Caenorhabditis elegans: one gene and its partner. The protein of the gene in region 2 interacts with the protein of the main gene of each other region in a pairwise test. Each region holds a gene or a part of one and is shown on either strand. Other genes may lie near its edges. The genes, in order: prp-21 and repo-1.

The links.
Region 1: the proteins of repo-1 (region 2) and prp-21 interact in a two-hybrid assay, tested with the Caenorhabditis elegans proteins (2 studies listed by BioGRID).

Annotation. Positions count from the first base shown.
Region 1 is NC_003280.10:479,001-496,725, reverse strand, and holds prp-21 (uncharacterized protein), read right to left. Parts: upstream 11,861-17,725; 5' UTR 11,858-11,860; coding exon 11,752-11,857; intron 11,622-11,751; coding exon 11,333-11,621; intron 11,247-11,332; coding exon 11,087-11,246; intron 10,865-11,086; coding exon 10,495-10,864; intron 9,714-10,494; coding exon 9,434-9,713; intron 8,959-9,433; coding exon 8,774-8,958; intron 8,309-8,773; coding exon 8,103-8,308; intron 7,845-8,102; exon of another isoform or gene 7,762-7,844; intron 7,247-7,761; coding exon 7,049-7,246; intron 6,621-7,048; coding exon 6,447-6,620; 3' UTR 6,323-6,446; downstream 1-6,322. Other genes in the region: sms-5 (Sphingomyelin synthase-related 2), read right to left, coding at 1-14, 1,074-1,188, 1,238-1,302; gldi-1 (NLE domain-containing protein), read left to right, coding at 12,348-12,484, 12,532-12,625, 12,677-12,752, 12,796-13,072, 13,624-13,807, 14,091-14,255, 15,060-15,322, 15,676-15,901.
Region 2 is NC_003282.8:12,077,702-12,090,639, reverse strand, and holds repo-1 (Splicing factor 3A subunit 2), read right to left. Parts: upstream 6,163-12,938; coding exon 5,606-6,162; intron 5,524-5,605; coding exon 5,412-5,523; 3' UTR 5,320-5,411; downstream 1-5,319. Other genes in the region: Polycomb group RING finger protein 3 homolog mig-32, read left to right, coding at 201-676, 991-1,165; F11A10.6 (Transmembrane protein 115), read left to right, coding at 1,618-1,729, 2,231-2,304, 2,351-2,629, 2,686-2,802, 2,852-3,156, 3,209-3,392; rbm-34 (RRM domain-containing protein), read right to left, coding at 3,699-3,795, 4,080-4,180, 4,231-5,217; lex-1 (Tat-binding homolog 7), read right to left, coding at 6,624-6,762, 7,134-8,088, 8,135-8,281, 8,340-8,425, 8,482-10,552, 10,595-10,812, 10,860-10,993, 11,040-11,165; tmed-1 (GOLD domain-containing protein), read left to right, coding at 12,480-12,641, 12,691-12,938.

The DNA of each region.
Region 1 (17,725 bases), on a different chromosome or scaffold from region 2:
AGCCAACCGACGCCCTAGAAAATTTTAATTTTCGGAAATCTTCAGAGTTTTCACCTTGAATTCTATATTTTACAAAAATAGAAGTATTAAAATAGAACTCAGTGTATCATTTTACCTTTAATATTTTTTTTCCGGGTCCCCAGCTAGTTTTTTGAATTTACCGGGTTACTGTAGCTTCATAAGTACGCAAACACCGACACACACACACACACACACACACACACACACACGGAAATTTACGACAAAATGCACAAAAGGGGCAAAAAACCTGAGTTTAGGTGTAATTTAAGGTGCTGAAACTGTTTTTTAGAAACTAGAATTATCCAAAACTAACGCATTTATTTTATTTTCTAAAAAAAAGTTTGAAAGCACCATTTTCGACAAAATGTACAAAGAATGGGGTTTTTTTTCTGATTTTTAAAATTAAACTACTTGAAATATTTTAATTTTCAATTTCAGAAACCACAAGTTTTTCCCCTCGTTAAAAATGTTATTTTAAAACTTAATATACTTTAAGGACTAGGCACACTTATTGTGTGGTGTTGTGAAATGCAATAGAAATTGAAAAAAATTTGATAAAAAATAAATTGTGAAAACCGCAGACCTCTGATAAGAGATCATGTTCAACTATCAAACCGGAAATATTCAAGGTAACAATTTTTGGGAAAAATAAAAATAATTGTTACGAAATTTTAGTGATTTCGTAGGTTAAAACTGATTTTTACAAATTTTTGGATAGCTTCAATAAACTCTACGTCAAAAATTACCCCAGAATCGGATTTTTCAGAGTTTTCTGCATTTCGTCGTGAGATCTGGTGTGCGTCGGTGTTTGCGTACTTATGAAGCTACAGTAACCCAGAATTTTTGAATGATTAACTAGAAACCTAGAAAAAATAAGTATGGGTAAAAAAAGATGAGGATTTCGAGTTTGAAAATATTTTATCAAAATTATCAGGTAAAATTATCAGTAAATAATTTTTTAAAGTTTTACATTTGAACTTGACAAACAAATCATTAATTTATTTGTTTTATTATTTTAAACTTTTAAAACTCCTAATTTTTCCCAAACTTACCACCATAGCAGTAGCCAAAAGCGTAGGCCATTTCCTAACTTCCAGCTGTTTTCCATCAATTTTCACAGAAATATCATCGTCTATTGAGTATCTAGAGTCGGGTTTAATAAAATATCTGAAAATTTTGTATAATTTTGAAGGAAATTTTTTTTAAAACTGAGTACTTTGAGCTCTGCTCATCGTGTTCGTAGGCGTGAAGCAGGTTCTCGTTTTCGGCGTCTTTTTTCATCTGAAAATTTGGTGTTTTGAAGGAATTCTGGCTGAAAATAGAGAAAAAAAAACGGAAAAAAGATAGTGAAACATAACAATTTTCTTTTAATCTTGAAAAAAAAAATTTTTTTTGAACATTTTTTTTCACAAAGTTTTGTCTTTTTTTCTAATTTTTAACACTATGAAAAATTTAACATTGAGAAAACATTTGTAACAAAAATTATATATTTCTAAAAAATTCAATCTTTCTTTTTTACATTTAGAACAGAATAAAATGATTTTAAAATTAATTGTTTTTTCAAAATTGTTTTTTCTTTAAAAAATAAATAAAAATTCCCAAAATTTCAAAACCAAAGAAAGCTATACAAGAAAAAAAACATTTTAAAGGTTGGCAAGCACATAAAATTCCGCACAAATGTTGCTATGGAGCACAAAATGTGCTCCGCCATTTATACATCAGCACCAAAAAAAAATATAAGCAAGAAAAAAACTAAGAACATTTTTTCAGATTTTCAGATCAAACATGACGTTTTTGAAGAAAAAAATGGCAACAAAATTGAGAAATTTGGCAGGTGATTTGCGATAGAAATTGGTAGATCTTGATTAAAAAATGCGTTTTTTTTAAATTGAAATATAATTTCAATTGTTAAAAGTAAAATTTTGCAAATTTTGAAAAAGAAAATTTCCAACAAAATTTTGAAAAAATGTGTAAAATTTGTGTTCGCGCGTGTGAAGTTATGTAGGCACCTTGAACCAATAAAATTATTTTAAAATTATGTACACACCGCAAAATTCGACGAATTGTCTATACATATTTTCAACATCGCGAAAAAAAATTTCCCATAATTTTCACATGATTTACACATCGCGATCCGGCTATTCGCAATGTGAAAAATAAGTGAAATTTGAGTGTAGCATGCATAATTTTCACACTGCGAATCATCTGTGGTACCAGGGGTTTGAGACAGATTTCAAAATTAGCCGAGCTCTTCAACAAATCTATTTTTCCAATTTTTGCCGAGCTCGGCAAACTCGGCAAATCCAGCAAACTCGTCGTGCTAGGCACACTCCGAAAAACAATAAAATTTTCAATATTTCTAGGAGCACCGAAATTACTTAATTCTTAACACATGTTTGATTTTTGAATAATGTATGTGTGGTCAGCCTACATAAAATATGAGTGGCCAACGAAATAAATAATATGAAAACCGAGAAATTGATTCTGAAAAAAAATTTAATGCAAAAATTTCCGAAATTTTTAAAATGTTTTATTAGTTTCCAGATAATGTTTCACCTAAGCGTATACATTTTAATTTAAATGAATTAAAATAATAATAATAGTTAAATTTCACAAAAACATGAGGTCATGAAATAACATATTAATTATTAAATTTAAAACATTTTGTTTAAAAAAATAAATGTTTTTCCTGAAAATAAAACCTTTCAGCTCACCTAACAATAAAAAACTAATACAAATGTAACTATTTTTCATTAAAACAATTTTAAATTTTGAAAAAATAATAATTTGGAAAAAATTGATTTAAACATTTTTTAATCAATTTTTTTTTGAAAACTAATGTTTTTTCCGATAAAAGTAGCTATTTTCCTATTTAAAACAAAATCTAAAAAATGTTTAACTTCAGGAATTTTTTTTTCTACATCCTAAACCAAAAATATTCCTCTATTCTAGTTGTCAGCTTCTAGCCACCTGAAACTCCGCCCGAAATTGACGCAATTTTTTTTTAGCGATTTGAACTTTCATGTATTGAGATATTTTGTGGTATTATCAATCACTATTAAACACAATTTTTGCGGTTTTATAACAACAAAAACTGTTTCTTAACTAAATTTCTGTGCTTTATGCTCACTGCTCAATTGAAAATGCCAAACGTGATTTGAGGCTAGAAAATGTGTTTCATTTGGCTGAAAATAGTGTGCTTAAAGTAAAAAATGAAATGATTTTCAAGAAAATTTCGCAAAAAAAATTAGGAAATAATTGCAAACTTTTTTTCGAAATGTTTTTATTTGAAATTAAAAGATTTTAAAAATTTCAATTAATTTTTTTCAAATCAAACTCAATATCAAAAAAATTATTATATTTGATAAAATATGCCTCAAATATACGTGGAATTCAATTTTTTGTAAAAATAGAAAACTTTCAGATGGAGATTTCGCTATAAATTTTAGAAAGATTTTCAAATCTGAACTTTTTTTTTAATTTTCACCGGTTTTTTTGAATAGTAAGAATAATTAATTAAAATTCATTTATGATTTTTTCTGAGCAAGTTTTTGAAAATTTAATAGATTTTTTTTCAACTCAAAAAAAGTTTTAAAGAATTTTTTTGAAGTTTCTTTTTTTTCCTCTTGAATTTGAAATCTTAAAATTCTCGTTTATTTTTTAAAATAAAAAAAACAAAAACAAAACTCCCTTTTATGTGAAAAAAAAACTGAACAATTTTAACTTTGAGTTTAAAAAAATTTTCTGGAAAAACATTTTGTGAAAAAAACATTTTTTTCAAAATTTTCTGTTCAAACTAAAATTTTCTCAGCTCAATCAATACAAAATATATTTTTCAAATAATGATTTCAAACAAAAGTCATTCCATAAAAACAATGTCACAAGTGTCATAAAAATTGACATAAAAATAGGTAATTCTCACTTTTAAAAAAAAAAAATTTTTTATGCACTTTTTGGGATCTGATCATTTTGGTACTATGATCACAAAAAATATTAAAAATTGTAAAAATTGGAGAAAAATAATTGGATTTTTGCAGAAAAAATTATATAAGGGGAATGGGGTAATGTGTTTTTTACAGAGCTCCATGGTTACGGAAATTGCAGCATAGAACACATAAATTTTTAATTAGAAAATTTCAAAAAAAAAGTAGAGAAAATCACTGAAAATTTGTAAGAACAAAATAGAGTTTAAAAAAATTTTACGAAAAAAAAATTTTTTTAATTTTTTTTCCAATATTAAGTTTCTGAAAGTTTGAATGATTTCTTATGTAGTTTTCCAAGTATTTTTTTTATTTTCGAACAAATTTTCAGATCAAAAATATAGTGATTCAGAAAAAATATATGACGAATAGTATAAGGAACAGTGTGTGCTTTTTGTCGAACAATTTTGGAAATTTTTCAAACTTTTTGGAACGGACAACCTTGAATTTTTCTATTTTCAACTAATTTTTTGAAATTTTCATTGCAATTTTTAGTTTCAGCACACCCTATTTTACCTCGAGAAATCAATTTTCAGCTAAAAATTCGCCAACGGCGTGAAATTAGGTGCTTTGGGATACTGTAGTTTGTGTTTGCGTACTTTTGAGGCTACACCCAAAATTTTGATTTTCGAGCTAGAACCGGGGGCAAAGCAGAAAAGGGGTAATTTCATAGGCAGCATTTGAATTTTTTATCGGAAGTTTAACATTTTCAGCGAAAAATTAAGATAATTTTCAATTTTTTTTCCTCACATTTTTTTCGATATTTTTTTTAATTTCAAAGAAATGAATTAAAGTAAAATTCCAATTACTCAATAATAAAACAAATTTAAACCCAAAATCCTAAAAGTTCACTCAACTTTTCACCCAAAAAATCAAATTTTTTAAAATTTTCCAATAAAAAATTTTAATTTCCAAAATTTCCAAAACCCCTAACAAAAGATTGAAAGCAACAAAAATCAGTCATACGCTCAATAGATTTCGTACTGGGGAGCTCACGTGAAAGGAAAAATTGGATGAAATAATTTTTTTGAAAACTTTGGGAAAAAAATTTTATCGAATTTTTTAAGTGAAATTTTAATGGAGGTTACCGGGGATTTGAAAATTTTTTTAAACTTTTTAAAAAATGATAATCGTGTTTCAAAGTGACCAAATAAATTACCAACTAGGTTTGTGAAAACTAGAAAAATTTTGAGAAAAAAATATTTTGGCGAAAAAAAAAATTGAATCCAAAAAATTTTCCAAAAAAAACATTTTTCCGCGAAATTTTCAAAAAATTTGAAGAATCAGCTAAACACTGCAGCATCAGTCATATGAGGCTCTTGAAATCGGAAAAATGAGGAAAAAGTGTGCTCATTTGTGCCAAAGTGCTCCACCCCCTGAGCTCCCCTCTCCCAGTGGCAATTTTTTTCGTTTGTGTGCTCCGCGGAGCACACATACAGTTTATTTGAACAATGGGAGCAAACTTCTTATTCCGAAATGTCAAATAGAACATTACTTTGTGGTAAGAAGGGGAGTTTTGATACCAGTTTTGACGCTGAACTTACTTGTTGGGAACTATTTTTAGGTGGCGGGAACTGCTGATTTTGGTGGACAAACAGATGCACAGACAGACTGACTACAAGTACTACTGTAATGAAATATGGGGTACAAGATGTTTCTGGGAAAAAAAAGAAATTCGGAAAAAAAAAGTGAAAAAAAATTTTTTGTTAAATTTTTTTTCGAAAATTTTTTCAAAAACTCTTAAAATGTTATGTTAGGTGGGGGAAAAAACAAAAACACATGTAAGAAATTTGGAAAACATAGTGCAATTTTTAGGGTGCAATCGAACAATTTTCAGATTGTGCAAAAAATGTTTTGTTTTTACTGAAAACGCAATTTTTTTCTGTTTTTCTAGTATTTTTTGTTCTGAAAATGTCCTGTAACAAGTAAAATTTAAAAAATCTGGATATCTGAACAAAATAAACAAAAAAATTCGAATTTATTATTTGAACCAAGAAAAATCAAGAATTTGTCTGAAAATGCCGGACTTTAAGATTTTCATATCGATTTTTTAGAATTTTCATATTAATTTTTGATTTCAGCACTCCAGTTTACCCCTAAACATCAATTTTCAGCCCAAAACTCTTCAGTGTAGTAAGATTTGGTGTTTTGGGGTACTGTAGTCGATGTTTGCGTATTTTTGGTGCTACAGTAACCCAATTTTCTGAAATTTAAGGCTAAAAGCCGGAGAAAAAGTGTCCCGGGGTAATTTGACATGCTGAATCTGAATTTTGTATAGCCATGTCTGAACTTTTAGATTTTCCACTCCAAATTTACAGAACGGTTTTTTTACAAATTTATTGGAAGAAAAGTTGAGATTTGAAGAATTAAAATTGGCGTCCAATTTTAGAATAAAGTTTGAAAGAAAATAAATATTAATAAGAGTAATAAATAATCGATAGCTCATCACTTCTTTTTTCCTCCACGCTCCTTCACTTGCAGATAAATCGCCGTCCGATCTGCCAAATTGTAGAAGGCCGAGCTCATATTATCCTTCACGAAAAGGCCATCAGACATCAGCTTCTGCTTTCCAACAGGCATTCCGTAACGATCCTGGATTTGTTGTTTGAGTTCGGACATCTGCAAAAATTATGAATTAATTGGGCATCAGGTGGTTCCCAATGGGCCATTCAACAAACAAATATTTTTGCATAAATACCTATCTTTTTGGAACTCTCTTGCCAAGTTGTTCAGTAAACCAGTGTCAGCCGAAACGTTTACCAAACGTATTTGTTCCCTGCCCCTTGACACTATGATGTGATCTCACTTATAGTTTTTTTTCCCCCATCAAAGCTTCTGTAAATAAGTCTTTCATACCCCCACCCTCATTTGGCCACGGACCTTTGTCCAATCGGTCATCTTATATTTGTTCGCCTCTTACCTATTCTTTATGTTTATTATCAACTTACTATTCAAATGGTTTAAAAGCGAATAAATAAATAAATAAATAAATAAAGGTGAAAAAATTCGTTCAGGGGAAAAAAACAATTTTCTTATCTAAAACTCACCGGTGCAGTAACTTGAATTGTAAACTGCACAATTGAGCCATCCATTCCGTGTTCGGGAGCCTGTGGAAGATGAACATTAAGCGAAATTGCTCCGTTGACCTTTTTAAGCCAATCAGCTTCTGGTATCAAATCATCTTCGGTACGAGGACGCTTCGCTGGAGGTCCACCGCCAAAGTCCATTTGTCGGATTGGAGGAAGCTGGAATTATAGAGCTTTATGCATTTTATTGGAGCTTTTCATGAGAATTTCCAGTGAAAATGGGAATTTCTGTGTCCGTTTGAGATGAAATTTACATTTAAAAAAATTTAATTTTGTGGAAATTTCAGTAATTTTAATCTTAACACAGTTTCCAGTTAATTCCGCCGAAAAATCGTCTAATTACGCGGTTAAAGATAACTTTTGGTGGCGTTTTCACTATTTTTCAACAAAAATATAGTTTCAGCTAACCTGGTGTAGCTTTTTCTTATTTTTTTTTAAACAGAAATACACAAAAAACCACTTCTTTATATTTTTCGAAAGAAATACAATATCTCTCTGAAATCAGCAAAAATTCGCGATTTTTAACCAATTTTAACTAATTTTAAAATGGGTCTGCTTGACTACAAACTACAAACTCGATTTAGCAGACCCAAGGGATTTTGAAGAGATTGGGTCTGCTAGACTACAAACTACAACTTTCGATTTAGCAGACCCAAGGGATTTTGAAGAGATTGGGTCTGCTTGACTACAAACTACAAACTCGATTTAGCAGACCCAAGTTGTTGTGAAGCGAATGGGTCTGCTAGACTACGAACTACAACTTTCGATTTAGCAGACCCAAGTGAATTGGAATAAATTGGGTCTGCTTGGCTACAAACTACAAACTCGATTTAGCAGACCCAAATTGAAAATGTTAGTTTTCATGTTTAATTTGGGATTTTTCGATTCGTTTTTGCAATACAAAGAGAATTGGTCCAAAAATTGACAATTTTTGTCGAAATATCCGATTTTTCCAGGATTTTACATGAAAAAACGAATTTTTTTTTGGAGATTTTTCAACTCAAAAATCCCATACCGCTTGATTCGGCATCCCAGGCATTCCCATTGGTGGAACCGGCGGCCATCCGGATGGCATTTGTCCAGGAATATTCGTTATTCCTTGAGTAATTGTCACATTTCCCTGGGTCGATTGATGACGTGGCACCTGCTGAGCTCCAATCTTTTCCTTTGATGGATCGGCAACGAATCCGTGTTGACGGTGGATTTCGTTGATTTGTTGGTCTGAAAAATGAAAAATGATTAATTTTTTTGCATAAAAAACACTGAAAAGCGAAATTTCGGTGAGTTTTATGACGGGAAAATTGTAAATTTTTAGCTCAATTTTCAGCCAAAAATTGGAAAATTAAACATAGCTTTTGCATCTCCGGTGGCAACTGTGCTTTATTGCACAAATTGTTGGTTGGAATTTTTGGGAAAACTTGGACTACGGTATATATTGCCCGTTTCAGCCGAGATACCAGATTTTTTTCAGATGGAAAATATCATAAATCCAAAACTTGGCACGGTTTTTGTTAGAGGAAATTGCTTTTTTTTTGAATTACTGGTTTTTCATGAAAACTCGAATTTTTGAAACATTTGAGTGTTTTAGAGAAATTTCTACATAGAAAACCACACAAATCGTGTAATTTTCCCAAACAAAATCCCGGAAAACTCAAAATTTTCGCCAAAAAATTAGATTTCCCGTACCCAAAGTGACTTTATTCTGTACAGCTCGGGTAATCATATCCCGAGTCTCTTCAGTTCCATCCCAAATCAGTTTGTTCTGCCCTTGTTGCGAATTGTCCTCTTCGCCGAGCTTCTTTCCGATCATAGTCTGCTCTCCGCCGACACCGAAGATATCCGTACGACGTTCAGCGAAATTGCCAAGATTTCTGAAAGAAAAAACTGGGGTTTAGTGATATTGGCACGTGGAAAAATGAAAATTCGTCTGAAAATCTATAATTTTCAGCTTTGAACATCTTTTGTGGGCATTTGTAATCGGAAATTTGTCTGAAAATCTTTAATTTTCACTTTTTACAATTTTTAAGACATTTTTATTCCAATTTTAGATTTAGCACTCTAATTTACTCCTGAAAATCGATTTTAGCTCAAAATTCACCACTGTCGTGAAATTTGGTGCTTAGGTGTGCTGTAGTCAGTGTTTGAGTACTTCTGGTGCTACGATAACCCAAATTTTCTGAAATTGAGCTAGAATCTTTCCAGGTCTAATTTGAAGCACTGATCTCAAATTTCGAGCGAAAAATGCGGAAATGAACAAAATTTCCACGAAAAATCGATTTTTTGTAGATTATTGTGGCGATTTTTAGACTTTTGTTCGTTTTTCAAAGAAATTTCTGAAATGTTAACCTAGAAATATCAGCTCCAAGAGCCAATACGGGCTCCTCCGTGCTTCTTTCTCCAATATGACGATCTCTGTCCTCTTTATACTGTGAATCGACAGTATTGTATCTGACGTGCTCGGCGAGCTTATCCGATGGAATACGCTCTCCGGTGAGCGGTGAAATGATCCAGTTCTCCACAGCTTTTGGCTTTTGGGTCACATTTCTCTTCGGATCGTAATCTCGAACAATCACGTCTTTCTGTTTTGTAGGTGGCAGCGGAGCAGTGAATGCAGGGGCTTCTGGTGCTGAAAATATATAAATATACTCATTTTTAATTTAAAAATTTGAAAAATTAAAAAAAAATACTTTTCGTATTTCGGGTGACACGTGTGCTCTATTCCAATAATTGTTGGTCAGAATACGGTAGTTTTTGCACTTTCAGCCGAGAATATCGATATTCATACCATCAATTTGGATAGAAACTCACATGTCCCAAAAATTCATTAGTTTTCCGAGTTAAAATTTGCCAAAGCTAATAAAAAAAAATTGATTTTTTTGGGTCTGCTAGACTACGAACTACAACTTTCGATTTAGCAGACCCAAGTGAATTGGAAGAAATTGGGTCTGCTTGACTACAAACTACAAACTCGATTTAGCAGACCCAAGTAGTTTCTACAGAGAATGGGTCTGCTAGACTACAAACTACACATTTCGATTTAGCAGACCCAAGTTGTTTTGAAGAGCTTGGGTCTGCAAGACTACAAACTACACATTTCGATTTAGCAGACCCAAGTGATTTGGAAGAGAATGGGTCTGCTAGACTACAAACTACAAGTTTTGATTTAGCAGACCCAAAAAATCTTACTTTTTAACTCAAAATTGCGATTTTTGTTCGTTTTCTACGAAATAAAATGTGAATTCGCCTAAAAATTTTAAATATTCCAGGTTGGAAGCACTTAAATTTGAATTTCAGCGTTTTCATAGTTTGCCATTGTTTTCCATCTATTTTAAAAGTAAAACTGTTGGAAAAAACCGGAAAAAAGTGAATTTTGTCTATTTTCAACGTAAAATGCTCCAAAAAAGCACCTTGAACGGCATCTTCGTCATCGGAATCACTCTCTTCCATATCCATTTCCTGCATTTCAGCCGCCGCCTTTTGCATTTCATTTCTCGCTTCCAAAAGAATACGGGCTCCAACGTCCTTTGGTGTGCATAGTGGTGGAAGCTGAGAAGTATCTCCTGGCTGGAAATCTACAGTCTGAACAACTACAAAGTCATGCCAATCGATTGATGCATAGGCTTGACGCTCTTTCTCGGCTTCTGCCTCCTCGCGATCTTTTAGACCTTTTTGATGTTTTTCCCAGGATACACGATAATTGATATCTTCTATGAGACGTTTTTTGTTGGTAGCATCGTCTTGGAGTTGGGCAACTACGTTGGTAGAGGGCACCAGAACCTGAAAACTGATATTTTAGCAACTTTTAGCTTAAAAATTTCAAATAAAAGTTATAAAGCTCACTTTTCCGCCATCTTTAAACTGAAAATAGTGAAAAAGTTATCAAAATGTTTTTTTTTTGAGTTTTCTACCGAAAAAGCTGGATTTTTTTTGAGTTTTCAACCGAAAAATCTAGATTTTTTTAAAAATTCTTAGAAATACGCAGATTTTCTTGATTTTTACCTTCTGATATTGATCAACGAGCTTTGTGAAGTATGTAAAGTTGCAATGAGCCGGTTTCAAAAAGTCGAATTGATAATTTCTGGCTTCTCGTGTCATCAATTGAGTCAGAAATTGACGGCCATTTCGTGCAACGAACAGAGCAACGAGTCGGATCAAATCTCTGCAATTTATAAGGTTTTCACTTCATTTTAGGTTAAAAATAGCTTTTTCATCTAATTTTAGTTCTAGAAGTTCTAAAAAACTTACAAATCATAGGCGTTAATCGTGGATGGATCCGCTGAGAACTCGTAGGCCGGCGGTGGAGCTGAAGGCACAAATTCAGCCTTTTTCACGTGCTCTTTCACTGCTTGCGGTACTTTCGGAGCCTCAACTCGGCCTTCTGAGAAATCGTAGACCATCTTTTTGTAGTAGGCATGGTATGGGTCTGTGATGGAGAGAAAGTTGAATTTCGGGTTTTTCGCCTCCTTTTCGCGGATTTTATTCTCAAAGTCCACTCCATTTTTTGCAGCGAAACGGGCGGTTTTGTCGACGATTGCTGAAAATTGAAAATGTATTGCTTATTTTTGGAAAATATCGATTTGCCCTAGTTTTTGCGGAATTCCGCGTGAAATCTTTCCAAAACCATGCAGAACTGTTTTATTTTTGGTTTAAACTATAAAACTTACTGCGAATATCCGGCGGCGGGTAGATTAATCCAATAATCGCACGCCCTGACAACGAGGGCTCGTTGTTCATCGAGTCCTCCTCGCGGTTTGAGACAACTGCAGTCATTTTCTGCAAATTTATAAGATAAATAATTTGAAAATTCGTAAATTTCGCAAAAAATTCAGGAAAATTAATAATTTAATTAAAAATAGAGAAATAAAGCAATAAACTGAAAAATAAACGTTTTCGAATATTAAGTGGAGGTTACTAGGCCACTACAGAACTCGACCATGACCAAATTCAAATTTTCCCGGTAGGTTTTTATCTATTCTTTATTGTTTTCGACATAGTTTTTACTGCTGTTACGTTAAAAATGTTTTATATTGTGTAAAAACATAACAATCTGTAAAAAATTTACAGTTTTCTCTATACAAATGAATGCTAAAAAGTGATGGCCTAACTTTTTCCACTGTATTTCTTTCTTCGCTCCACTGAGAAAAATAATTTATTTAGCGCAATTTCTTAACGAATTTCTTCGATTTCCAGTTCAATTTCAACGATTTCCCTTGTTATAACTTTCAAAATAATTAAAACTCAAACGGTTTCAGGTAACAAAATGACTGAAAGTCCACAAATCTCGGTCAGCTTCGTGTCAGAGGACGAAAACGAGCTCGGAGGATCGGGAATCCTTGTTCCAGTGGACATCTCCACGAATGAGCTGCAAATTTTGTGTAATCAGCTTCTCGGGAGCAGGTTTTGTTTGAATAATGAATTTTCTGTATCTCATCCTGAGTTTTCAGTGACGATCCTGTGCCGATTTCCTTCTTCACCACAGAAGGCGCTGAAATTGTCGATTCCATTCGAAAATCGTTAGAGGAAATTGATTTTGAGACTGTAAGCCCTTGAAAGAAGATAGAAAACTTTTTAAAAAATTTAAAATTTCAGACATTAAAGCTTGTTTATCAGCCACAAGCAGTGTTCCGTGTGAGACCAGTTACCAGATGCTCCGCTAGCATTCCAGGTAATTTTTTGATCGTTTTGACGCATTTAAATATATTTTTCAGGTCACGGAGAGCCAGTAATCTCTGCTCAGTTCAGCCCTGACGGACGTGGTCTAGCGTCGGGCTCCGGCGATCAAACAATGCGAATCTGGGATATTGAGCTCGAGTTGCCTCTCCACACGTGTAAATCCCATAAAAGTTGGGTTCTCTGCATCGCCTGGTCACCGGATGCTACGAAAATCGCTTCGGCTTGCAAAAACGGAGAAATTTGCATTTGGAACGCGAAAACCGGAGAGCAAATCGGAAAAACGCTCAAAAGGCACAAGCAATGGATCACGAGGTGCAGGAAAATCGCATTTATCACTGAAATGTCTTGAAAATTTGGGTTTTCTACAAAAAATCGCCGTAAAATTGTATTTATCACTACAATGTTCTCTTAAAATTTCCATTAAAACCCCACTGAAACGATGTATTTTTACTGAAACCCTTTTGAAAATCACTATTATTTGGGTTTGCTAAATCGAAATTTCTAGTTTGTAGTCTAGCAGACCCAATCACTTCAAAATCACTTGGGTCTGCTAAATCGAAAGTTGTAGTTTGTAGTCTAGCAGACCCAAACTTCTTCAAAACCACTTGGGTCTGCTAAATCGAAATTTGTAATTTGTAGTCTAGCAGACCCATTTCGAATTCCAATAATTTGGGTATTTTAAATCGAATTTTTAATATTTTCTATGAGTTTACTTATCATCCATAGTGGAAAAATGTGATTTTTAACAGAAAGCTTCAGAAAACCCGAGTTTTTCTCTCAAATATTAGCCAAAAATTAATTTTTCAACATAAAAACTAAACATTTCCATTTCAAATCGAATTTTTATAATAAAATTTTTGCAGTTTGGCATGGCAACCGATGCACAAAGACCCGACGTGCAGGCTTCTGGCTTCTTGTGGAAAAGACGGAAATATTTTCATTTGGGATACCGTACAGGGTACTGTAGTTCGCTGTTTGAGTGGACACACTGCTTCGGTCACCTGTCTGCGTTGGGGAGGCGAAGGACTTATTTATTCCGGATCTCAGGTAACTTTTTGCAGGAAAAGTTGTGAAAAATCTTGAAAATATTTTTTAAAAACGTTGAAAATTCAACGACGGGGATGTCACTTTGAAATGCGCAAACTGATTTTAAACACCGAATGATCACAAACGAATCCGAATTAACTTAAACTCGCGCATATTTAAAAAATAGTTCGAAAACCATGAAAATCGCATAAAACCTACCGTAATCAATTTATTCTCCTAATTTCGAATTTTTTTAAAACATAAATTTCAAGCCAGACTCCTTCACAATAAAAAAAATTTTCAGGACCGAACCGTAAAAATGTGGAGAGCCGACGATGGAGTAATGTGCCGAAACATGACCGGACACGCTCACTGGATTAACACTTTGGCACTGAATACAGATTATGCGTTGAGAACCTCGTGCTTCGAGCCCAGCAAGCGTTGTATTAAGCCGGATACTGTGGAGGAGGTAGAAAATTGGATTAAAATCTGAAAATTTGGAGTTTTCCGTTTTTTTTCCATTAAAAACCTTTAATTTTAAAATTTCTAGAACTTTTCTACTGGAAACATCAATTTCCTACTCTAAAAACAAGAAAAATTGTAATTTTTTATATTTTGGAGGTTTTCTTCTTTTTTTCTCTGGACAATTTCTGTTTCCTACTTGAAAGTCTGAAAATTTGAAATTTCATTTCGATTTTGACTAGTCTACATCTTTAGGTTTTCATGCGGCAAAGTTCCAAATAACAAATTTCGCTAAACTGTATTTATGCATAGAAACCTAAAAATTTTAATTTCCTATTCAGAATATGCCAAAAAAGTACTTTTGGTCAGATTTTTCCAAAATTTCGAATTTTACCCTTAGCAGATTGTTGTTTCTATTTAAACGCAGCAGTTTCTATATAGTTTTCAGCGATTTCACGAAAATACACTGTAAATTGAATTTCCCCTTTCGAACTTTGAATTTTTTCGATCTGAAAAATGCCAAAAAAGGATTACTGTAGCTTGTGGAGCCGTTTAAAATAAACTTTTGTGACTTGTGTGCTTCTATCCAAATTGATGGTATGACTATCGGTATTCTCTGCTGAAACATGCAATAAATAACGTATTCCAACCAACAAATTGTGCAATAGAGCACATTTGTCACCGGGTACGCGGACGCCATGCTCAAGTTTTCGATCGGTACAAGCAAACTGGAAACTTAACAATTGCTAGGGCTAAAACCTCCAAAATTCACAATCTTCCAATCAAAAAACATCAAAATTGGATTTTTCAGTGTCAAAAAGTGGCTCAAACTCGGTATGAAGCAGCTCTGGAAATTGCCGGCGGCGAACGTCTTGTTTCCGGATCCGACGATTTTACACTATTTATGTGGAACCCGAAAGAGACGAAACAATCGATTAATCGAATGACCGGACACATGCAATTGGTGAATCAAGTCGTTTTCTCACCGGATACACGTTATATCGCCTCCGCCTCATTCGACAAATCAGTGAAGCTCTGGTGTGGAAGAACTGGAAAATATTTGGCTTCTTTGAGGTAGAAATGCAGAAATTACCGAGAAATCCCTGAAAAGTTCCTTAAAATGATCTAAAATAGCAGTTTTTCTTTCAAAAATGACATTTTTAGTATTGGAAAACACGAAACACACAATTTTCAGTCAGAATTACCTACTTTGAGCCTAAAACAGGAAAACAAATTTCGTACAGCAAAATTCCTCCTTTATGCACTAAAAATGAACTACAAACTACAAATTTCGATTTAGCAGACCCGAGTGGTTGGGTCTGCTAGACTACAATCTACAAATTTCGAACGATTTTCGAGAATTCTCACTTGAAAATGGGTCAAATAATTTTTCAGCCGAAAACTTCCTTAAATTTACAATTTTTCAGAGGACACGTTGGCCCAGTCTATCAAGTTGCATGGTCTGCCGACAGTCGTCTTCTCGTCTCCGGATCCGCCGATTCCACGTTAAAAGTGTTCGAATTGAAGACGAAAAGTCTGTACTACGACCTTCCAGGCCACGGAGACGAAGTTTTTACTGTTGATTGGAGCCCCGAGGGAACGAAAGTTGTGTCAGGTGGAAAGGACAAAGTTTTGAAGCTCTGGAGACAATAATTATCCAATCTTGCATCTTTTTTGTTATTTGTTCGTTTAAAAATCGTTTTTTTTTCTTGTTTTTGTTCTATTTTGTTGATTTTCAATAAAAAAATTATGTTTGTTCCCAGGTTTATAGTTAAAAATATAAGCTACAATTTGACTCACAAAAACAATAACTTTAGTCAAGTTTCGGCGGAGATTCGGTTGAAACTACAGTGTGGGAAAGTTCTATAGGACCCCCCCTAATTTGAAGGTTTGAGGAACTTCCGAAAATTTTTTTGAAAAACTGCTAATGCCATTCGTTTTTAAATTGAAAAAAACCTATATACATTTTTTTCCAGAAGTTTATCTCAAAAACTGAGGTCGCGCTGGAAAAAACGTCAAAATCCAGTGTGAAACTTCTATAGGACCCCCCGTTTTTTTTCACGATTTTTACTAAAATCAACAGATTTTGGAATTTTTGACAAAGCTCAAATCAAGTTTGAGTTAGAAATGAGTTCATATAAGCAGTTTTGACTTTAAAAATTAATACGAAATGTTCTCGTGGGATCTCCAGACTGGTTCTGATTCTTCCGATCTTTGATGTTCAAGTCTGTTTCAAGCTTCCTGGTGCTCTCGGTAATGCCAAAACTTGATAAACTCTCTTTAACAAGTTCCTACTAAAATTCCTAGCACACACACCATAAACATTTTTACGCCATCCCCAAGAAACCAGTCAGAAACAGCGTATTAACAAGTTGCAGTTATTTTTGATCAACAACAGAACATTCATATACTAAAATCAAGAAAGGATCAATAGTTAATCGGGTTTCCTTGTGTGCGGATGATCTCAAACAGTCTGTCCTCCATTGATCTGACCAAACTTTTCAGCTGGTTGTCCGGAATAGACTTCCAAGCGTCGAGAATTCCTTGCTTCAACGATGCAACTGTTGGGTAAGTCTTGTTCTGAGCATACACGATACGGACAAGAATCCCCCACAAATTTTCGATTGGATTGAGATCAGGACTTCGAGCTGGCCAATCAAGAAGGTTGATCTTCTTGAGCTTGAAATAGTCGCGGGTTGAGTTGCTCACATGGATTGTCGCATTATCCTGCTGAAATCTAAAGTCTTTTCTGGAGTAGTGACGAAGATATTTGGAGAGCTCCAGTTCCAAGACGTTCTGATAGTCAGTGCTGTTCATCTTGCTACTGACGAACTGTATCTCAAGCTTCTTCTTCTCCGTGAACGCTCCCCAAACCATCACCGTTCCTCCTCCAAAATTACGTCTCGAAAAAACCATTGGTTCCTTGCGCAAATCGCGCCAATAGTAGCGGCAACCGTCAGGCCCATCGAGATTGAATTTCTTTTCATCGGAGAAGACAACCTAAAACAATGATCCTAATTATTCACTCTTGCTTTTTTAAATTCTCACTTTACTCCAATTCGTTCCCATATTGTTCTTAGCAAATTCCAATCGCTTGAGTTTATGGTCTGCAGAGAGTAACGGAGCAGGGCGAAGTTTCTGACGAACGATTACACCAGATCGTTTGATGACATTGAGGATGGTCCTTTTTGAAGCAGACAATTGAAGCTCATTGCGAATATCTCTTGCCGTCTTACAGGAGTTGGAGGCAGCACGAATCACATTTCGTTCGTCACGCACGGAGAGAGCTTTGCGACGAGGAGCTCTTTTAGATGTACCGTAGCTCACCGGATCCTTCAGATACACGCGAATACAGTGTCGAGAACGGGAAATTTTCCTACTCATTTCATGCAGGGACACATTGAGCAATTTCATAACATCCAGCTGAGCGCGTTCAGTGTCCGAAAGGGCAGATCCTCGAGGCATTGCAAGTTAGAC
Region 2 (12,938 bases):
TCTTATAAATACAGAGTGCTTGGCGAGACAAAATTTGTATAATTTGCTTCCCTGGAAGCCCATGAAAAGGAAAAAAGATAACGAGGTTCCGCTACAAAATCATTCTCATTTCTAGAAGTTTTCGTTACGATCTAGACTTTAAATCTAGATGCATAAAATCAAAAAACCCATATTTCAAGAATTTAATTATATATTTTCAGGGCTACATCGTAGATGCAACAACAATAATTGATTGTATGCACACATTCTGCAAGAGTTGTCTTCTAACATATTTTGAATCGGATAACAACACGTGTCCAACATGTGGAACATTTATTCATGGATCTCATCCAACTCATTACGTGACTTATGATCGAGCAGTCAATGAACTTGTCAATCAATTTGTGCCAAAAATGGAGAACAACGAGTTGGACGTACGGAAAACGTTTCTAAGAGACTGCCGAGAAGCTCTAGGAATTGATACGGCAGCCGAAGATCGCGAGAGAAAAGAACGACTGGAAAGAGAACGAATAACTGGGACAAATAGATGTTATCCATTGGAAAGGCCTAGATTCTCACATCATAGAGATGATTGTCAAGTGACTGTTAATCTACTCCCCGGGACTGCTAATCTACCTCTTATCACTCGACCGTATGTTCGGTGCAGTGAGATGACTACTATGAATACTTTGAAAAAGTAAGGTTTTTCAAGTTGTATTCAAATTTTGGTTTTTAAAATTTTATCGTGATAACATAAAAGAAAAAATTAATTAAATTTGAAACAATATGACGATTTTGACTGATCTCCTCAGTTGAATTTCCGCGCATTATTCTCCGAAACCACGCCTATTTTTCCGTGCCGCACTTTTACTTTTTTTCAATTACAACTCAAAGTTTTGGTATTTCTCCGAAATTTCAAAAACAAATTTTTTCTAGATGTAAAAAAAATATTTATTTCAGGTTAAAAATTTTAAGGAAATTAATTTTTTTATAATTTTCCTTCTTTTTCAGATTCCTATCTCTTCAAATATGGGACGATCAGAGCCGGTATTCTGATTTAGACATGTTTTGTGACGGACAACTCATGGGAAAAGACTTTTCGGTTCGCTTTGTTTGGATGATGAAGCGCCGTGGTCAACCCAAATCTGAACCACTTATAATTCGATATCATATGACGAGAACATGATCTTCTTCTATCGATTTCTTCTTTCTTCTGAACTTCTCAAGAACAAATTCCCAGTTTTACCATGTTTTAGTACTGTACCATGTATCTCTATCTCTATATTTTGTCTCATTTCCTATGTTTTCATATTTATTAACTGCATTTTTTTTTCAAAAACAACCAAACCCCAAGATGAATAACACGTGTCTAATTAAATTTTTTTGTTGGTTTAAAATTTCTTCGATTTGAAAAACGTGAAGTTTCTTCTTCTGGAGAGAGATTTTATCGTCACCTTCAAAATATCCGCTTATTTCCTGTTTTCACCAGCCACATTTTGTTCTGCTTTTCGATAACATAGTGTTGGTAAGTGAGAGAGTGAAAGAGAAAGGTTCTCAGTGGGGCGCACTTGACGAATCCAGCTCACAGCGTTTACACCATTCCTTTGAAAGACATTGCCGAGTGGATTTGCAGACAAAATGGGAGTGAAAGCTGTGCTTGGCGATCTGCAAATCGTCGTGGAACGGCATTCAGACGTCTTACGGAATAATGCGTTACCGTTCAGATTTCTTGTTGTGCTACGAATTATTGGTGAGTTTTTGCCAATAATTATTATTACCCAGACGTGAGATTTTGCGATTTTTGGGCCAAAAATACCGTATCTGGTTTCAGCACGGCAAATAAAAATGCGTGTGCGCCTTTGAAGTGTACTGTAATTTCAAAGTTTTAGTTGCTGCGGAACTTTTATCGGTTTTTCGATGAAAATATATTTATTTATTAAAAAATCTTGAATGAAACGGTAAAAAACTAATAAATTTCAACCAATTGTGAGGAACGCTGTGAAAAATCGATAAAAATTCCGCAGCAATGAAAGTTTGAAATTACAGTACTCTTTAAAGGTGCGCGCCTTTTCGCATTTTAATAAAATTTGTCGTGTCGAGACCGGGCATTGTTTTTTTGTTGCAAAATCGCAAAATTGGACGCGTAGCTGAAATAAGGCTCCAAACTTTATTATTTTTATTATTCTCATCAAAAATTAGACATTTTTGTAAAATAATTATTTAATAGAGTTACAAAAAATCAATTTTCCAGGCTATATTATCTCATATCTTCACTTTGCACGTCTTCTTTTATGGCTTCACCCTTATCAAATTGCTTCAATTGAAGTATAGAACAAAATCTTCAGAATTAGAAACAATTTCATTTTTCCAGCTTTGGCGTATCGCGACAAGCACATTCTGCGGTCACAATGTACTCGACGTTCTGTGGACAGTCTGGTGTCTTCATTTCGGAACGAATCTCGTCCGTCTCAACAATACAAATGAGTCTCTTCTGAAGCTTTATGCAATTACTCAGGGTGTTACCACTTTTGTCATCGTAGTCTTCGCATATCTCACCTACATTTTATTCGATTCTATCAAATTTTTCTACATTGAACCACTTGTTGGTATGACTCCGATTTGTGCGTCGGTTATGGTTCTCATGAAGCAGGTGGGCAAACACATGAATCTGAAAGAAACTGAATATTTAATAATGGCTCTTTTCAGTTTCTTCCTGACACCATTGTCCTGGCAACACCACTTGGACGTATTAAATATGCTCACCTTCCATTCTTGGCCATATTTGTCTCATTTATTCTAGCTCTCACCAAATTTACTTACTTTGTAAGTTTCTATAAAATCAAATGGAATAATTTAATTTTTCTTGATTTAGGTGTCATTTCTCCAAATCACCATCGGTGTTCAAGTTTCTTGGACCTATCTTCGCTTCTACAAACCCCATGAAACTGACGAAATCTATGGAGACGGCAGTGAGCACTTCACGTGGGCCAGCCTCTTCCCGTCTCGCACTCAACTCTTCTTCACTCTCATTGGAAAAGTTTGCTTCAGAACCCTTGCTCGAATGGGCGTCTGCAAACGACAAGTTCGTCATGTTGATCTTCACTCTCTACAATCAGGATCCGTTGGAATCAACTTGCCTGCGCTGGAGAATTCTGCAAAAGACTCGGAGAGACGGAGGTAAATATTTGATTTCTTTGATTTGTTCCAGTTAAAATGCTAATTTTTTCAGACAAAAAGCATTGAAAGAGTTGAACGATCGATTGAACAAGACTCGAACAGCAGAAGTTGCCAGCTACGGAAACTGGGACGATGGTGACGATGATGAGCCGACTGAGGTTACTGTAGTTGCTCCGCCCCCTGTATCAAATGTACATTCTTCAAAACCAGCCATGGACAAAGAATCAATGGCATAAATAGATTTTTGGGTTCCTTTTTTATTAACATTCATTAATTATGTATTTCTTGGATCTCTAGTTTCGACTACTCTCGTTTATGTTTTCTTTCGCTTCATTTTGCTTCCTTGTTCTTCATGGGTGTTTTTCATTTATTGCCTTCTTCCCTCTCTGTGAGTAATTTTTGCATTTATTGTATTTTTCTCTGTGATAGTTTTTTGTTTGATGAATAAAATATTAGATTTAAAAAACTGTTTTTATAGTGATAAAAATAACAAAACAAAACAAATCAACAAAGTTATAGATGAAAACAAAATATTCAAAAACCTATGCCATCAGACGTCCCTTCTTTGCAGCCTTCTTCTTTGCAATGGCTTTCTTCGCTGACTTCTTCAAGGCACGACGATCATTTTGCTCAGTTGTTCTGAAAAGAAAAACAAAATTATCCGGTGACCAACGGAGTGCTAGTTCAATTAAATTACACGCACACGGAGGGCCCACGCTCATATAGCACTACAAGTACCGCAGACGGTAAAGTTCCGAAAGCAGGTTGCAGTCGTGCAAGCAGTGGGGGTCGAACTCGTGGGCGCCGACCTCGAGTACAAACGCACACCCAACTGCGCTACGCTGAACGATTTAAATAGAGAAGAACCGGGCAATGACATTGCGCGCGCGGGCCCTTTGACAAAATGCCACATATTTACAAACCTTTCTTTTTTGGTGGAGAACTTGAACTTGTGCAATTTTCCAGTAATTTCATTCTGGTTCTTCTTTCCGTGAGATGTTCGCTTTTTAGCAGTTTGGATCTTCTGAAAAACAAATTATAAATTGAAGAACTATTCGAAGAAAAAAAACAAACCGTCAAATGTCCCTTCTTCATAACTTTTGTAATGCGCAAGTCGCGTTTTTCCATTTTGATAGTCTCCATGCTCAATGCAAGACTCACAGAAGAATCTTGTTTGAAATTGACAAACGCGAATCCTTTTCCCTTTCCAGTATCTTTATCTCTGACAATTCTGACAGCCTCGACAGGTCCGATTTGTGCAGAGAAAAAAGTAATGAGAGCATCTTCGGTAATCTCGAACGGCAAGTTTCCAACAAAAATGGCCATATCCTTTCCAAATTCTTTCTTCTTACTTCCAACTTTGTCAACACGAATCACATGATCGTCCAGCTTGGTTCCATTGTACTTCAGAGCTTTCTCCACTGATTCTTCTGCTCCGAATTTCACATAGAACGTGAGAGAACTCTGTTTGTCATTCAATTTTCCTGTCAAATGAGTGACTCGTTTCGTCAATTTCTCATTCGCAGGAAGCAGATTTCTCATACGGACAGAGGAAATAGTTCCAAAGTCGGAGAAAATTCGACGGACTGATTTCTCGTTCATTGTCAATGGCATATTTCCAACAAAAACAGTCAGAGCATTTTCAGCAGCTGAAGCACGTGCATTTGACTTTTGAAGAGTTCTATTCTCTCTTTGCTTCGTTCTGTCTCGCTTTCCTTCCTTATTTTCATCTTTTTTCTCTTCTCCTTCTGTTTCAGGTGCAACTTCTTCAGCAGCAGCAGCAGCATCAGCTGCCTTCTCTTCTTCAGCCTTTTTTTTTGGATCATACTTTCTTCTTTTAGGTTTTTCAATTACTTTATCTCCCTTCACAACTTCCTCTTGTACTGCTGCTCCTTCTGACGACTTTCCGAAGAGACTTGATAATCCACCAGCCTGATAATTATCAGGTTCAGAGACTGGAAGACTTGGTTTCTGCTTCTTGATTTTCTTCGGAGCTTCTGCAACGGCTTCTGCGTCAGCGGACACTGCTTCAGCTTTTCTTTTGACAACCTTCTTCGCCATCTGAAACTGATTTTTTAAACTATGAAAACTATAATTTTAATTGAATAGACATTGTAGACGGATCAGTCAACCTATACTTGATTTAAATAAAATATCATCATTAAAAAAAAGGAAAATAATTTATTGTTAGATCATCGAAAAACACGAAAAAATTGTTTTGAATTTTGAAATCAAAAAGATAAAAACATAGAGTATCAATAGTACGGCTGATCATCGAGTCGTTCCAATTTGAATGCGACTTGTAAGAAGAATTGCTTCGTGTCTTTGTTCCACATCGTCCAAAATTTTTCAGATTTGTCAACTTCTCTGGAAAAAATTACTTGGTATATACAATTTTTTTAATCGTAACTATGAGATAGAAAAGTGCTAAAATGTTGTAAAGCCTCACCTTGATGGAATTTTGAATCCAATCGTTTCATACGGCTCAGCAGCAAACAAGAGGTATTGCCATCTCTTGTCTGGAGGCTGAATCTTTTGCTCATAAGCAGACATAAATCGATGACGTGGCGCAATACCGTCAGCAATCTCCGGATAATCAATTTGGAAGAGAAGTGCTTGCTGGCCAGCTCCTGGATCACGTTCTTTTGTTACCTTGTATCCAGGACGTCCGATTTTCACAAACTTTTTAGTTTCAACTGCAGCTTTCTGTGGAGCTGGTAGAAATGGTTGTTCAGATTGTTCTTTAGCGGCACGCCGTGCAAGATTCGCTTGATGCTTCTTTCCTTGTGTATGTGCCAAATAAGATCCTTCATTGTTGTGAAGAGTAAGACACAGCTTGCATTCGTACGTTCCAATGTGATTTCGCATGAAATACGGATCCTTTTGAAGATCAATTGTCTCTAGAGCCAACTGGCGGAGCCGTTCCCGTCGATCAACACCAGCATCGGCGGCCGAAGCCACTCCTCCGCTTCCCGTTTTTCCTCCAGCTCTGTTCTGAAAGTCCATCTGAAAGAAAAAGTTTAGATGATTGAATATATTATAAATTTAAAATAAAATCGAAAATATATAAATATCCGAAGTTAAACGGATCATTAAAACAAAAATAGGTATTAGCATTAAACATCGAATGATTCACAATTTACTCATTTTCGAAAGACCAGGTTAAAGATAATGGAAAAGATTAATGAAATAATAGAAGGGCACGTGAATACACCCGAGAGGCAGGCAATGCTCACTCGAATAAATTGGAGGGGAATTAATTATGGTAGAGATTTAATTTGAATAAAAATGGACAAAGAAAAATAGGTGAGTATCACGGTAGCCGCACTTATTTTGAAAGTTTTCTTTCGCACAAAGGGGTTTTTGACAAGAGGAAAACTGGTGGAAATTATGATAAAACGGATTTCAGTTTGAAATTATAAAATCGATAAACGGAGGTAGATTGGAAGAGGAGGATGGGACATCATTTAGTGTCCATTGGCAAGATTTCCATTCGATTTGTTGAGGGTTCCATTAACAATTGTATTGTTCGAATCGTCAGCTGTTTGCCATTCACGTACAATTTGGGTAAGTTGGGCTGGTAGATTTTCGCGGTTCCATTCGTCCCTGAATAATATTTAATTGTTAAAAATAAATATTGTTTATTTTATTCTACATTGTGACTACAATTTTTTCGGGATTTTTCAGAGAATATCGAAAATATCAAAATAGGAAAATCACGGAAAAGCCGAAGAAATGTACAGAAAATTACGAGCATTTTTTCAATTGAATTGAAATTTTTTCAATTAACCGGAAATTATTGAAAATTTCAATTTTTTTTCAAAATAACGAAATTATCAATTTTTGAAATTTTCAAAAATATAAACAACCTTCATAATAAATGTTTTCTATGTTTTAAAACGTTCCAAAAATCCTTAACATTTCCTTTTAGTTCAAACAAAAAGAACAGCGAGGTAATAAAAAATCATATAACTCACCGGAATCGTTCAATTGTATGTGATAGAACAGAAGACAAACGTTCCAACTCGCTGACTGACCAACCCTCCGACTTTTCGACACAACACTGAATCAGCTCGCATGTTGCTGGCTTCGAAACTATCAATTCTTTCTCAGCAATCGAAATTTGCACGGAAGGTGTAGAATCTTTAGAAGCATCTTTCATCTCGATATCATGTTCACTGTTTGGAGTTTCCTGATTTTTCTTGATTTCAAGATTTTCTACAATTGTATCTTCTCCTGCGTCTTCAACTGTACTATCTTCATCGTGCTCTTCAGATTCGCCGGTTTTGCTTTTCTTTTGACCCTTCTTCTTTTTGAGCAATTTCTTTTTATTTCCAGCAGAAGCTGGAACTCCATCAGTTGATGTGCTCGTTCCTTCTTCACTTTTCATATCTTCTACAGGGACAACAACGAGTTCCAATGTTGGAGCAGCTACACCAAGCTTGCTCAACATTTTTTGATTTTCAGCTTCACGCTCTGATGTCCATTGCTCAATTTCTTTTGCAAGTGAATTGGTCATAGACCACGCCTTTTTTCGGGCAAAACCTTTGGGAATTTCTGTGAGTAATTTATCAGAGGTTGGAGTTACTCCAGCGTCTTGTAGCATTCGTGAAACTGTTTCAATTCGTTCGACAAACGATTCGTCAAGTTCACACTCGATCAGATCATCAATTGCATCTCGAAGTGTATTTGCCATTTGACGAATCAGTTTTCCGTCTTTTGTTGTCGACGGATTATATTCGAGAGCATTCGTTTGAATCAATATCAAGTCAGCAACAAATTTGTCCGCATGATTATATTCGCAATTATTCAGCTTTTCCATAATATCCTGCATACAAATCGGTGTTTCGATAATCTCATAATAGTCCTCAGCCTCATCCGGATCCACGGGCTCGACAAATTCAACGAATCGACGATCTCGCATAAGACGTGCTGAAAATATTCAATGAGGTTGAGCATGCGGAATATTAAAACTCACTGAGCCTCTCTTTGAAGAATAATCTCATTTGTCGCTGCAAAGCAGTGTACATCTTCAAAAGTTCTCTTGTCTCGTCATCATTGAGCTTTCTAGAAGGCTTCGAATCGGGAGAATCGTCATCTGGTAGAGGCATCTCATAGACTGTTGCTGAAATATGGACAAAGGATTTAAAATTTTTAAAAAATTGTATTTCGTTGAGACTTACGATCAAATACTTTTGGTGGAGTGTTAATCTTCTCAATAACGTGCTCGAAATATTTTTGACGAATTGTTCGGCGGGAAGGATTCAAACTGAAAATTATTATATTTTAAAAATGTTCTGAAAACACATTTCTAGTTATACTCACGTGATACAGTTTGCATGTCTGAAAATTTCCGTGACATATTCAGGCGCATCTTCAAACGAAGTGTCAAGCGTCGATAGGAAAAGAATCGGCGTGAAACCAGTCATTGATTCCAGACATGTGATAAGCATATGTTGAACTGATACAGGAATGACTTTAATCCATTCATCGATTGATGGAAGAAGCATGATACATGGGCCGGTTGCTGATGCACGCATTGCCGACTGAATTGCATTTGAAAATGCTTCTTCTGGACGTCCATCTGTTAAAAGACTTGAAACAGAAAGAGAGAACACCGGTAGATGATCCAGTTTTGCTAGAATGGCGGGAAGAACGTAAGACGTTTGTCCACCGTCCGCGAGTTGCTCAGATCCACATAGAAGAAGACGAATAGCAGGCACGGTTGGATTAGGTTCCAATGCCCTAACAACTTGTTCCAGTTCGCTTGAAGCTGTCGCCATTGCATTTTCCACGCATCGATATCCTTGTGGAATTCTCAACGAAATCAAGTTGCTCACAGTATCTCCAAGTAAAATTGAAGTTCGTTCATCCAATGGTCTCGATGGAATTGTAAGATCTCGTCTGGAAGCAGGTGTGATCCTCCGCATTGCATGTCCAAAATGCTCAGAAGTGATTTTAATGGTGGCAACGTCGAGTTTCAGCCTTTCAGAACACATGTAGATATGAGGATATCGAGATCTCAATCCAATAAGAACTGCTTCTGTGCACAAGAATTTCAAATCGGCACCGCAATATCCACTAGTTCTCTCTGCAATAGCATCGAGTGTTTCCGGAATCGGTTTGTTTTCCTCCCATTTGGAAGTGTGAATATCTAAAATTTGTCGTCGGGCATTCAAATCAGGAAGGGAAAAACGGAGTTCCCTATCAAAACGTCCTGGTCTTCGTAGAGCTGGATCAAGAGTATCTAATCGATTTGTAGCTCCAATTACAACAACTTCTCCTCGACCATCTAATCCGTCCATCAGTGCTAACAATGTACTCACTATGCTCGCATGAATTTGATCTTGTTTCGAAGAACGAACTGGAGCTAAACCATCGATTTCATCAAAAAAGATAATTGATGGACGCATGGCATATGCTTGATCAAACAATAGTCGAAGTTGTCTTTCAGACTCTCCGACCCATTTACTCAAACAATCAGCTCCTTTTCGCATAAAGAATGCAACTTTGTTGGCTCCTCTTCGGCATTCATTCGCAAGAGCACGTGCAACAAGAGTTTTTCCGGTTCCTGGGGGCCCATAGAATACGACACCTTTTGGCGGATTTATTCTGAACTTTTCAAATACTTCAGGATAAAGCATTGGGAAAAGGACAACTTCTTTGAGAGATTGAATATGATGACCGAGTCCTCCAACTTGATCGAAACCAACCGACGAATCAACACTCATTGGATCAATGTCACTTGCACCTTGACCAGCATCAGTTTTTCTCATTCGATCCATCAGAATGTGTTGGGCAGACTGCAATTCTTTTTCGGTCATATTGATCGGCATAAATCGACCACGTTCACGTTCTCCACGGTTATGCATATGAGGCCTCGATTGACGTTTATCAGGTCTCGGAAGCACCATATCATCACTATCAGAATCCGAATCGCTTCGTCTTCGACGAGATCCATTTCGATTGCGGTGATGTCTGTTTTGATTTGCAACCCGATGATGTTCAAGACGAGCCCGTCGATTTTCACGAGCTTCTGATGCATTGAACTGGACAACTGGTTGACGGCGGCGAAGACTGTATTGACGTGGAGCAGTTGATTCCTCTGAACTTTCTGCATTGCTGCTATCATCCTCTTCTTCTTCTGGATCTTTTTCACCGCTTTGCTCATCTTCTTCAGCGCCTTCCTCCTCTTCTTCCCTTCCAATTTTCTCAATCAAGTCCTCATTTTCTTGTTCAGCCATTCCATCAATTTCAGCAATTGGTAGCACAATCTCGCCACCTCCTTCCATTGGCAACGGATCATCTGCTGCTAGATTTTCCTCTGGTTGCTCACTTCCAAGGCGCTTGGCGGCTTTGCGAGTCCTGCGAACCGGCGACTCTTCCTGTTCTGAAACTGAAATTCGCTTATATTTTTGAAATTATGCGATTCGTGTACCTCCAAGTTCTTCGTGCATTGATGAACGTCTTCTGGTGCTACGTCGAGTTGCACGCTCGGGGACTGTGTTCTCAACGTGCGCCGCTTCAGCAAAATCTTCCTCTTCCTCGTCAGACAAATATATCCGCTTTCGTTTTGCAGGCGGCACTTTTTGATTTCGCTTGGATTCATCTATCGCCTGCATTACTTGTTGTCTGTATGTCATCGAATTCGAGCTTCTAAATTTTAACAATTATAATATTTTTTGTCAAAATTATCAAAAAACCTTCGAGTTCGATATCGTCTTTCATCTTCCTCGCTGCTAATTGCCTCATGATATTCCTCTTCGTAATAACGATTGTGATTAATTTTCCGTCCGGAACGTGTGTACCCATTTCCATCTACACCACCGCTGCTTCTCTGTAAATAGTCAATTTAAAAATGTATATGTTTTGAATTAACTCACTCTTCTGCTTGATGGTGCGTACATGTCATCAAAATCCTCGTTGCACTGACCCGCATACGAACGCGAGTGATCTCGAGCAGATCTCCGCAAATTTTTGCGCGGAGAAAATCCGTCTGAGCGAGGCATCTCTGAAAAGCTGAAATTTTCGAAAAATCGATAATGTAACAAGTGAAAATGATACGTAAAAATTCTTATTTTAATTTATCGAGATGAGAAAAGATAATAGTGGAGGAATAAGTAGATGTTTTAATCTAAGAATTCGGCTTTTGTTTTAAAATTATGGGAGAGTACAGAATGAAGCAGTAATCGATGAAACCGAAACTACTATATTTCCATTACGAAAAACGAAAGCTAAACTGTAAAAATCGGATGCATTTTATACAGAAAACATTTTCGAAAATGAAATCGTTGGGTGAAAAGTAAATGTGGAAATGAGAATGGCTGGAGAGAGCGAGCGATGGGAGAGGCAGGCACGAGGCGGGGAAAAGTGCATGAGAAGAGTGTAAATGCGCTCTATGGAAACACAAAATGAGAACTAGTTTAAAATTAATTTCTATAGACTGGGGAATTTAAATTCAAGAAAATTATAAGAAAAATAATCAATAATCAAATCAATTTGAAGAAAAATGGACGAAAGGAAAATTGTGGAAATTGACAATATTTACTCACTATCGTTGGCTAACCGAATTTCGAAATAATTAGAAAAAAATCTGATCAAAACCAATATTTAAGTTTAAAACCAATAAATTGTGAACAGAAGATACTCAGGATTTCATGTGGCATCAATTTTCAGATGTTTCACACAGTAAACTCTGAAAATTTTTACCTAAATTGAAATACCGTCGTTTTCTACGTATAAGGATGTAAAAATAATGTATTTGTGAAGGAAATTAAACAATTTATCGCAAAAAACGCATGCGCAAAACAAATGAAAACTGGAAAAAAGAAATCTGAAGACTACTGTAAGCATTTCAAGACCCAAGAGTTATTTTTGAAAATGTTCCTGTAAAGCAGGCCCAGAAATTATTTGGTGTCGTGTTTTCTGCGTTAAAAGCTTATGAAAATAACTTCAAAACATACTAAAAATTAAATTTATACCTATTGAACGTTTTTAATCGTAATTTATCTTTCCATCACGCCAGTGAAAGAAAAATTCTGATTTGAAAAAAAATAGGTGTAATCGCGCTCTATTGGACACAGACAAACTCTGAAGATTTACACGTAAACTATGCGAGTTTTTCGTTAATTTTTTGTTTTTATCTTATTTATTATAAAATTAAAGATATAAATGAATTAAATAATTGCATTAAACAATTTTCCGAAGCTGTAATTCTGAAATTATTGTCTTGAAAATATGTTATTGCCTCGTTTTCAATAGCTTTACTACAAAAATGCATCGTCAATTTGTTGGCTTTCTCTTAAAATCAATTAATTTCAGCAATGGGTGAATTCACCAATATAATCACTGTAATTCTTCTCATCACTCCATTTATTCTATGTGGAGAGTACGATTTTACAGTCGAAGTTCCTGCCGGAAAATTCCAGTGCTTTTTTCAACCTGTGGATCTTGCAAAACACAAAACCCTCGAAGTTGATTATCAGGTATTTTATAATTCTAAACCATTTGCTGCATTTTAAATCTTGATTTCAGGTAATCGACGGTGGTGACTTAAATATCAATTTCATGATACTTCACGGGGCGAACATTCTGAAGCAGGACCAGCTGAAAGTCGACGGATCCCATCGAATTGAACTGAATCAACCAGGAGATTATCAAGTCTGCTTCGATAATTCATTCAGTTATCAATCTCGAAAAGTTGTATTTTTCGAGATATTTTTGTTTGATGCACATGGCAACCTCGACGAAGCCGATTTATCTGCAATGGCACGTACTGATTC